Callithrix jacchus: one gene and its partner. The protein of the gene in region 1 interacts with the protein of each later gene in a biochemical or structural test. Links are inferred from orthologs where the notes say so. Each region holds a gene or a part of one and is shown on either strand. Other genes may lie near its edges.

Region 1 (3,719 bases):
TGCGGGAGAAATGATCACTGGGAGATGAAGTACTCCTGGCGATAATGGCTCCCTCCTCCCAGTCTTCTCCCTCCCTGATTCCACTCCTCCGGATCCCACTCGCCGGCAAAACTCTAGCCAAGTGACATACAACTGAGAACAGCCGTTTTACCAGCTCCTACACATGAAAATATCTTAATTAAAATGTTCTAATAAATGTCCACCTAAAGCAGGTACTTTCGAACAGTATTTTTTACATAAGCATATTTAACATTTAGTTTCACATATGTGTCATAAAACTAAAGTTTTATGAAATGATACTCAGTATTCCATTCCATTACAACAAAATCACCCTCTCTTTGCAGACCGGGAAAAGCTCAACATGAACAGAATAAATCAAAATATACTTCTATCCCTCCAGCTTGTACCCATTACTCTTCTTTCCCCACCACTGAAACCCACTGACGCCTTGGAAAGACTAAAAAACAGCGGGAGGAGGGGAGCAACACAAGGCAAAATTCAGCTCAGCTTGGTGGTTTCTTCTTTATTGATGTGCCTCTTACCTTCCCCCGACAATTTCAGTCCCTTCCAACTACCCCCAAAAAAGAAGGTAGTGAAAGGAAGGGATTGCTGGGGTTTTGAGCCCCTTGGGCAGTCAGAAAGGGAACAGAAACCAAAACAATCACTAGATGTGACAGAGACTGACAATCAAGAGTCTAAAGCAGAATGGGAAAGGCCGGCAGAGAAAGGGGAAAAAAGGAGAAGGGAGAGGTACAAGATGCCAACTCCACCATTACCCCTCCTAAGAGAGGCTGGAGAGAGAGCCTCAAACATTAAGAAGTGCCGGTCCTGAATAAGGGAGGTGGTATTTGAGCTTGAAGGAGGAAGAAGTCAAGAAAGGGGGGCCACCTCTCTCTTTGTAGAATGAGAGCCCCCTCCAGCTCAAGGGCAGCAGCTTCACAGACCGTAGACACTTTCGTCACTATAGGCAATGTACAGAAAGAAGTCTTCTTCATGGTGTTCCTGAGATGAAAGCAGAAAACTGTTCAGCAACTGGGCTCCTAACTTACTTCAACCAACCACCACCCAAACCAGTTTATGGTCTTCTAGAACCACAAACCAGTGCCCGACTCCTTCACTGACTCCAAGGACTAGCATAAGCAGTATAATCTCTGCAGTCCTGGGCAAAAAGACCTTAAACGGTTGTCTGCTGCTCTGGAAAGGGGAGGAGGACTGGGAAGAGTCCTGATCAGAAAGTTCCTCTAGCTCACTGTTCTCTTTGCGTCTCTCTACTCCTACTGTTCTGTTCAAACCCCCAACCCACTGCTATCATGAAATTTTAAGGCAAGTCAGGAAGCTAGTGCAAAACTACTGATGTAACAACACTTTCTTCCGCTCACGCTCTTCCAGAGGCTTCTCCAAAGCCTCCACCACTTCCAAGTCACCGTACCTGGTAAAGTTGACCCATTGTGGCACTGGTGGGTGGAATGACATTGTTGACAAAGAAAAACAAGGCATCCTCAGCTCGGAGATGAATTCGCTTCCGGATCAAGAAGTAGAACTGACCAACTGCAAAAGATACAAGGTGTGAGAAAGTCAGAGAGGTCAAAAATGCCCTCAAAAGAACAGCTGCTAGGTGGAGCCTCCTCCTGCAGAGACTGCACTCCCACCCACAGGAAGCAAGCCTGGGTCTTGGGTCAGGTTCCCACCTGTGAGATCAGAAGGCACCAGGTATTTCTTTTTGTCCAGGTCTCCTATCCGAGCTTTGGGAGCCTTTTCTACTATCACCTGATAAAGAGAGGATGAAAATGAGGAGGCAGAGGAATGCAGCCCCGCAGCTGCACCTGTCAAGAACTCAAGTAACAATAACCCTTGCACCTAAATCTACCCCAGACTCATCTGTCTTTGCACACGCGGTGCAGCCCTGAGTCCCAGAGATCCTGACCTTACTGACTGGAGTTCATTTAAATAGCCAGGATCCATCCCCCGAATAGGGCGTCACCATAAACAACTATCTTAATCAGATGGAGATGACTTGTCTGGGCCGACTAGTGCTTCAATCTCACAACCTCAACTAGCTGGGGGGATGACCACTTGAAGCTCAGGCTGTCAAACTCTCTTAAGGCCTCCACTCACAAATGCCAAGGTTTCTCTCTCCTGTCTACATCCCTCTCTACTCCAGGTCCACCACTACCCCACCCCTTTCATCCTCGGTCCCAGGGACAGCAGTTTCAGGGTCGCTTCCAATCCCGCCATAGCCAGCAGCCTGATCCTCCCGCTGCCCGTCCCAAATCCAAGGCCAGGCTGTGGCGTCAGCGTAAGCGTCCCGCGCCCTCCGCCCAGGCTACTGTCCTCACCGGCACCCGGTCCGGGTATTTCTTTCGGATCTTCTCGCCCTCAGAGCGGCGCTTCTCGAATGGATGCTCTTCTTTGTACACGAACTTCATCCTCCCGAGAACCGGGCTGGACCGGGCTGGGCTGAGGGAACCCGGGAGGGGGGGGCCGGACGGGGGACGGCGGCAACAGTGGCGACGGGCGGGCGGAATCAGCGGAGCGATCCACGAATTTGCGCCACTTCCCTATTCACCAACCCCGCCCCCGACTAACAGGACGGCCCCCCCGTTAAGATACGCCACTACCTCATCGGCACTAACGCTGCTAGCGTAGCAACACCCACTGACCCTCCCCCTCACGCCATTAGCGTAATCGCTTTGGAATTAATGTGTGGGATACGCAGAAGACGTAGCAAAGACGGTTGGTTTTCACTCATTGAAAATACCTCTAAACCTATTCCCCAACCTCCCCCTCAAGGAAGCTGGGGCTCAAGAGGAGTATGAGATGGTAATAACCATGAGACTTGGTTTCCCAAGTTCCTTTCGGAAATAACGTAGAGGAACAGCAGAGACAATTACAAGGTCGGCTATTCACAAAACGCGTTGCTACGCTGAAGGCGGCCGTTGACACCAAAACAAAGTAGTACCCAAGGGACAGAGATGATCTCCACAAATAAGAGTTCAAAAAGAAAACGGATGTTTGGAGAGATGTACAGAACGCTTAAGTACCAGGAATGAGTAGACCAATAGGGACTGGAGAGGAGGTCCAAGAGGTAAGGACTACGCCAGCGCGGAGGAACATCGCAGTTTGAGTGAAATCATGTGATCTCAGAGAGGGCGGAGCGTCACGTGGCGGGTGCGGAAAGTAGGGCCGGCTGGGGGGGCGGAAAGTAGGGCCGGCTGGGGGGGCGGGGCCAGCTGAGCAACGTCGGGGAGGGGCCCCTCTTCCGAGAGCGGAGGTCGAGGCGGCCCTAGGGGGCAGCGCCCGCGTAGTCTGTCCATATCAGTGCTCCCATCGAAGCCCGACGTTTCTCTAGCTCTACGCCCTTTGGCCGCCCAGGTTTCTCCTTTCGGCCTTCAATAGCCTACTGCTCCAAAGGTATCCTTCCACTCCACACCAGTGCGCCCATCCTGTCACTCGGCCCTTCCCGCCAAAGCATCTGGTGTCCACATTCACTATTGTATCCTCATGCTCAACAGCACCTTTCCCCGTGCCCTCGAGTCCAGCAGTAGGCTCTTCGCCCACTGCTCTGGAGACAGGGTGCATGTGAATAAAGTGCCCTCCCCTCACTTCCCAAAACCCCAGAGAAGGACCTAAGGGCCGCTTTGGTTTCAAAGTTATAATGCATGGTTTAAAAGAGAGGAAAGGAAAAAAGACAAAGCTGGTTACAGGTCTGAGGGAGTCTA
Region 2 (4,177 bases), about 87 Mb from region 1:
TCCAGTTTTCTATTATACAGATTTAAAAGATAAATTCTTTGTGGCACTAAAGAAAACTTAAAAATTAACAGAAGACTGAATTAAAAAAAAAATAAGCCCACTAATCAAAACAGTCCACTGTGGGATGAATACCTGAACCAGGAAAAAGCCTACCAAGCATCCCAACCAATTATATAGTTCTTGTTTGCATATTTTAATTTTGGACTTTCAGCACAGTAAATTATTAAACGGGTTGGTTTCAGGGACTGTTTAAACCCTGTAGTATTTCAAAATGTTACCCTTTCTAAACCAAATCTGTGGTCGTAATCAACCTTTTTTTCCCAAGAAAAAGAGAGGATATCTTTTTAACATACATTCCATAGCAGTAGAAACATCTTAGTGTCTCAAAATACTATTTACAAAGAGCCCTGCTGATCCTGTGCATTTCGCTGAGGTGCTACCTGCACCCAGACTTCATCATCTGAAAAAGAACTTGAACTTCCTGACTCAGAGTCCAGTTCACTGAATCCATCTAAGTCCCATTCAGTACTAGACTCACTCCGTGCATCATCTTCCTCAGTAATGAAACTCTGACCAGGTTCGAGGCAGGAAGGATAAACTCGAGCACAAAGGCAAATAAAGCCAGAGTCAAACTGCAAAAGGCCTAACATGGTACCTATATTAATCCACTGATCTTCCCTAGTATCATACTCATACACTGTCACTCGGTTCTTTTTCCATTGTGGGGTTGTAGAAGTGATGAGCAGCAACTTTTGCTCATGATTGACAATCTGGTAGTTGTGAGTTTCTGAATCCAAAGGAATATTACTAATCCGCCTCCATTCTCCCCTAGCTGGGTTGTAGACCTTCATGACTGGGATGTCACAGATACAATAGATTTCATCATTGAAGACACACGCTTCCTGAAAGTCACTGCGTTTAAGAGAAGCACAGTTTAGCCACATATTGTGGCTAGGATCATAGCAGAGCATGCGCTTACTGTTGACAGCATAAAGATAGTTCTGAACCACTATGAGTTCAAAAGAATAGAAGGAATGAGGGACAGGAGCCACCAATGCCCACTGGTTTCTCTGAACACTGTAGCATTCCACTTCCTTCAATTTAACTCCAGTAATAGGGTCTCGTCCCCCCAAAATGTAGATGTAGCCATTGAGGTATGCCACATCCATGCCCTCGCGACACAGCAAGCGATCTGCAAGTTGCTGCCAACTATTCTGAGCTGGTTTATACACCCAGAGGTCTTTCCTGGGCTGGGCAGCTAGGTAGATGTCATGATCTGGGGAGACACAGACAGCTGAGGAGGTGATAGTCTTAGTGTGAGCAAAGCTGGTTAAAGGTGACGGCATTGTGTAAATGTCCCCCGAGTAAGGGTCATAGCAGAGAAACGGATCTCTGGGGTGTCCAAAGAAGATCACCATCTCCTTGGCACACATACCCAGCCTCTGAGGTGGATTTTCTGCTGCAGGTACAACAGAGTTGTTGTTGCTGCTGTTGCTGCTGCTGCTGCCACTGCTGCTGCTGCTGCTGCCGCTGCTGCCGCTGCTGCTGCTGCTGTTTGGCACTGGCACCAGAGACTTGTACAGCAGGTCGCCATAGCGCATCTGCAGGGCCCCTTCAACAACGCCCAGGCAGTACTTCCTCACTAAGGACTTGCTCAGCAGCCCTTCTAAGTAGTCCTGATCTTCCTCAGTGAAGTGCGTCCAGCGCACGCACTTGAAGACTTCTGCAGCACTGGGACCCCGCTCTTTAGGAGCAGCCTCCAGCCACTGCACTGCTACGTGGCACACTGTCCGCTCACTCTCCACGTCCAGACTATCCAGGCGCAGAACAGCCAGCAGCTGGGCCAGGGTCAGATCTGCTAGAGTCTCCTCCCGAATCGAACCCATTCGGCTGAGCTGCTTGAAGTTGTGAGCTATATAGGACTGGGCCTGAGACCTCAGCTTGTGATGGTCAAAGGCGTCTGCAAACTTGAGGATGGCGGTGCAGTTGGTCAGGTCCAGGCGTCGGGCTAAGAAGGAGGCACAGGCTTCCCGCACGTACTCCAGCTGCAGCATGTCCGAGGCCGCGTACAGGCGCTGCACGTTGGCCTCACTGAGCGACACACGACCCGTGTAGCAATAGTCCACCAGCACCTCGAAGGACTCGGCGTCCACGTCGTGCATGGTCACGCTGGCCTGCTGGCTCTCGTACATGCCACCTGTGAACATGCTCTTGAAGTAGGGACACGCAGCTGCCAGCACGTTGCGGTTGCAGGAAAAGAGGCGACCCGTGCCGGGCCCGCTGCCGGGCGTTACCACCTCGATGGTCACATCGCACAGCAGCCGCGCGTCGTAGAAGGACTTGAGCTGGGCCAGGAGGGCTGCAGAATGGGCCGTGTCCTTTAATTCCTCTGGGCCCGTGAAAAAGGCCGAAACCGAGGGCTTGGAAATCCTCTTGGGCCGCCTCCCACCGCGGGGACTGGCGAGGCGGCGAGAGCGCGGGGCGTCCTCCCGGGACTGCATGATGGAGATGGCGACGGGCGCTGAAGGCGAGAACGGCTGCAGGACCCGGCTCTGGCTCCTCCTCACCCTTCCCTCGCTGACGCTAACACAAGCCGCTTCCTGGAACAGACTGCGGCACGGACCTGACTCCTGAATTCTGCCTACCCCGCGGTGAGGCCTCCCTTTATCGCGTAGACAGTGGCTGACTCACCCTCTCTCACTTCCGCGCCCTTTCTCCGCCTCTGCTCGCGTTCACAGGACCCGCTGGCTGGGAGCCGCGGAAGCCCCACTGCCGCGCTGGCGATCCCGCTAGGCGCCCTGGAGAACTACGGTTCCCGGGTTGCCTTTCGCGCCCCGAGGCCTGCTGGGGCTCTCGGACAGCCGGGCCAAGACCGAGGAAGGAAACCGCTTTGCATGTTGGGAGTAGTAGTTTGTGAAATATCGCGAGCTTTCCTTTCGTTGCCTGCTCTAACAGAAGTAGAAATTAATACTCCGGGATTTGATGGTGAAGAACGAGGTCTCACTATTGTTGCCAGGCTGGTCTCGAACTACTGGGGGCTCAAATGATCCTCCTCCTTCGGCCTCTCAAAGTGCTGGGATTACAGGCGTGAGCCACTGCGCCCTGCCAATATTTTACAGGGTTTTGTGGGGTTGAATGATATGTTACATAGGATGCTTAAATATGTGTATTTTTTTATTAGAAGAATAATTAATAAATCACTACCCCGTGCCTAGAATGTAATCAATAATTGTTAGATTCTCTTTTATAATTTATGATAAATGAGGCACCCGCTAATTTGAAACCAAGTATTTTTTTTAAAACTGCAAAACGTTACAAAGCTTCCAATTTTTAATTTTTATTTTTTGAGAGGTTCTGAAGAGTATTAATATTTTCAATATTAAATGATGTATATTGGTCTCATTTAACAAGAATGTCTTAGATGGTTAGGTTGAGGTCCTAAAGAGCAGTATTAATAGATGGCCTCAAATATGCAAATTGAGCATATACAAATAGATGATTTGCTGCTCTCACTAACATTTCATCTCTGCAGAGCAAGAGTATTTTCATTAAGCTGCAAATGTAAGTGTGTTCAAATTGAATAATACAGCCTCTTTCTTTTTTTTTTTGAGATGGAGTTTAGCTCTTGTTACCCAGGCTGGAGTGCAATGGCACGATCTCGGCTCACCGCAACCTCCGCCTCCTGGGTTCAGGCAATTCTCCTGCCTCAGCCTCCTGAGTAGCTGGGATTACAGGCATGCACCACCATGCCGGCCTAAGTTTTTGTATCTTTAGTAGAGACGGGGTTTCACCATGTTGACCAGGATGGTCTCAATATCTTGACCTCGTGATCCACCCACCTCGGCCTCCCAAAGTGCTGGGATTACAGGCGTGAGCCACCGCGCCCGGCCAAATACAGCCTCTTTCACTGCCATTCTACAAATCAGTTAACAGACTCTGCAATTGCTTTCGTAGAGAAGTTTTAGGGAGAATTTTAACTCAAAACATTTCAACAGACTTTGTTCTGTACAAAAGCACATGATTCTCAGACTTCAGCATTCATACATGCCCTGACGTTCCTTGAATTAATACACAGTATAGTCTATGCTTTACAAAACTATTTAATATATGCGTTGATCAACAGCTAAATCATCAAAACCAAGTATTAGAGATTTGAGGCAGGAAAATAGGGCCTGGA

Evidence for each region.
Region 2: the proteins of GABARAP (region 1) and kelch repeat and BTB domain-containing protein 7 form a complex in vitro, tested with the Homo sapiens proteins (2 studies listed by BioGRID and IntAct, with this or other methods). The link is inferred for Callithrix jacchus from reciprocal best matches to the Homo sapiens genes GABARAP and KBTBD7.

Annotation. Positions count from the first base shown.
Region 1 is NC_133506.1:73,732,792-73,736,510, forward strand, and holds GABARAP (gamma-aminobutyric acid receptor-associated protein), read right to left. Parts: upstream 2,550-3,719; 5' UTR 2,427-2,549; coding exon 2,337-2,426; intron 1,768-2,336; coding exon 1,689-1,767; intron 1,549-1,688; coding exon 1,430-1,548; intron 1,003-1,429; coding exon 937-1,002; 3' UTR 509-936; downstream 1-508. UniProt on the Homo sapiens protein: Ubiquitin-like modifier that plays a role in intracellular transport of GABA(A) receptors and its interaction with the cytoskeleton.
Region 2 is NC_133506.1:160,346,431-160,350,607, forward strand, and holds the start of kelch repeat and BTB domain-containing protein 7, read right to left. Parts: upstream 2,801-4,177; 5' UTR 2,502-2,800; coding exon 396-2,501; 3' UTR 1-395. UniProt on the Homo sapiens protein: As part of the CUL3(KBTBD6/7) E3 ubiquitin ligase complex functions as a substrate adapter for the RAC1 guanine exchange factor (GEF) TIAM1, mediating its 'Lys-48' ubiquitination and proteasomal degradation.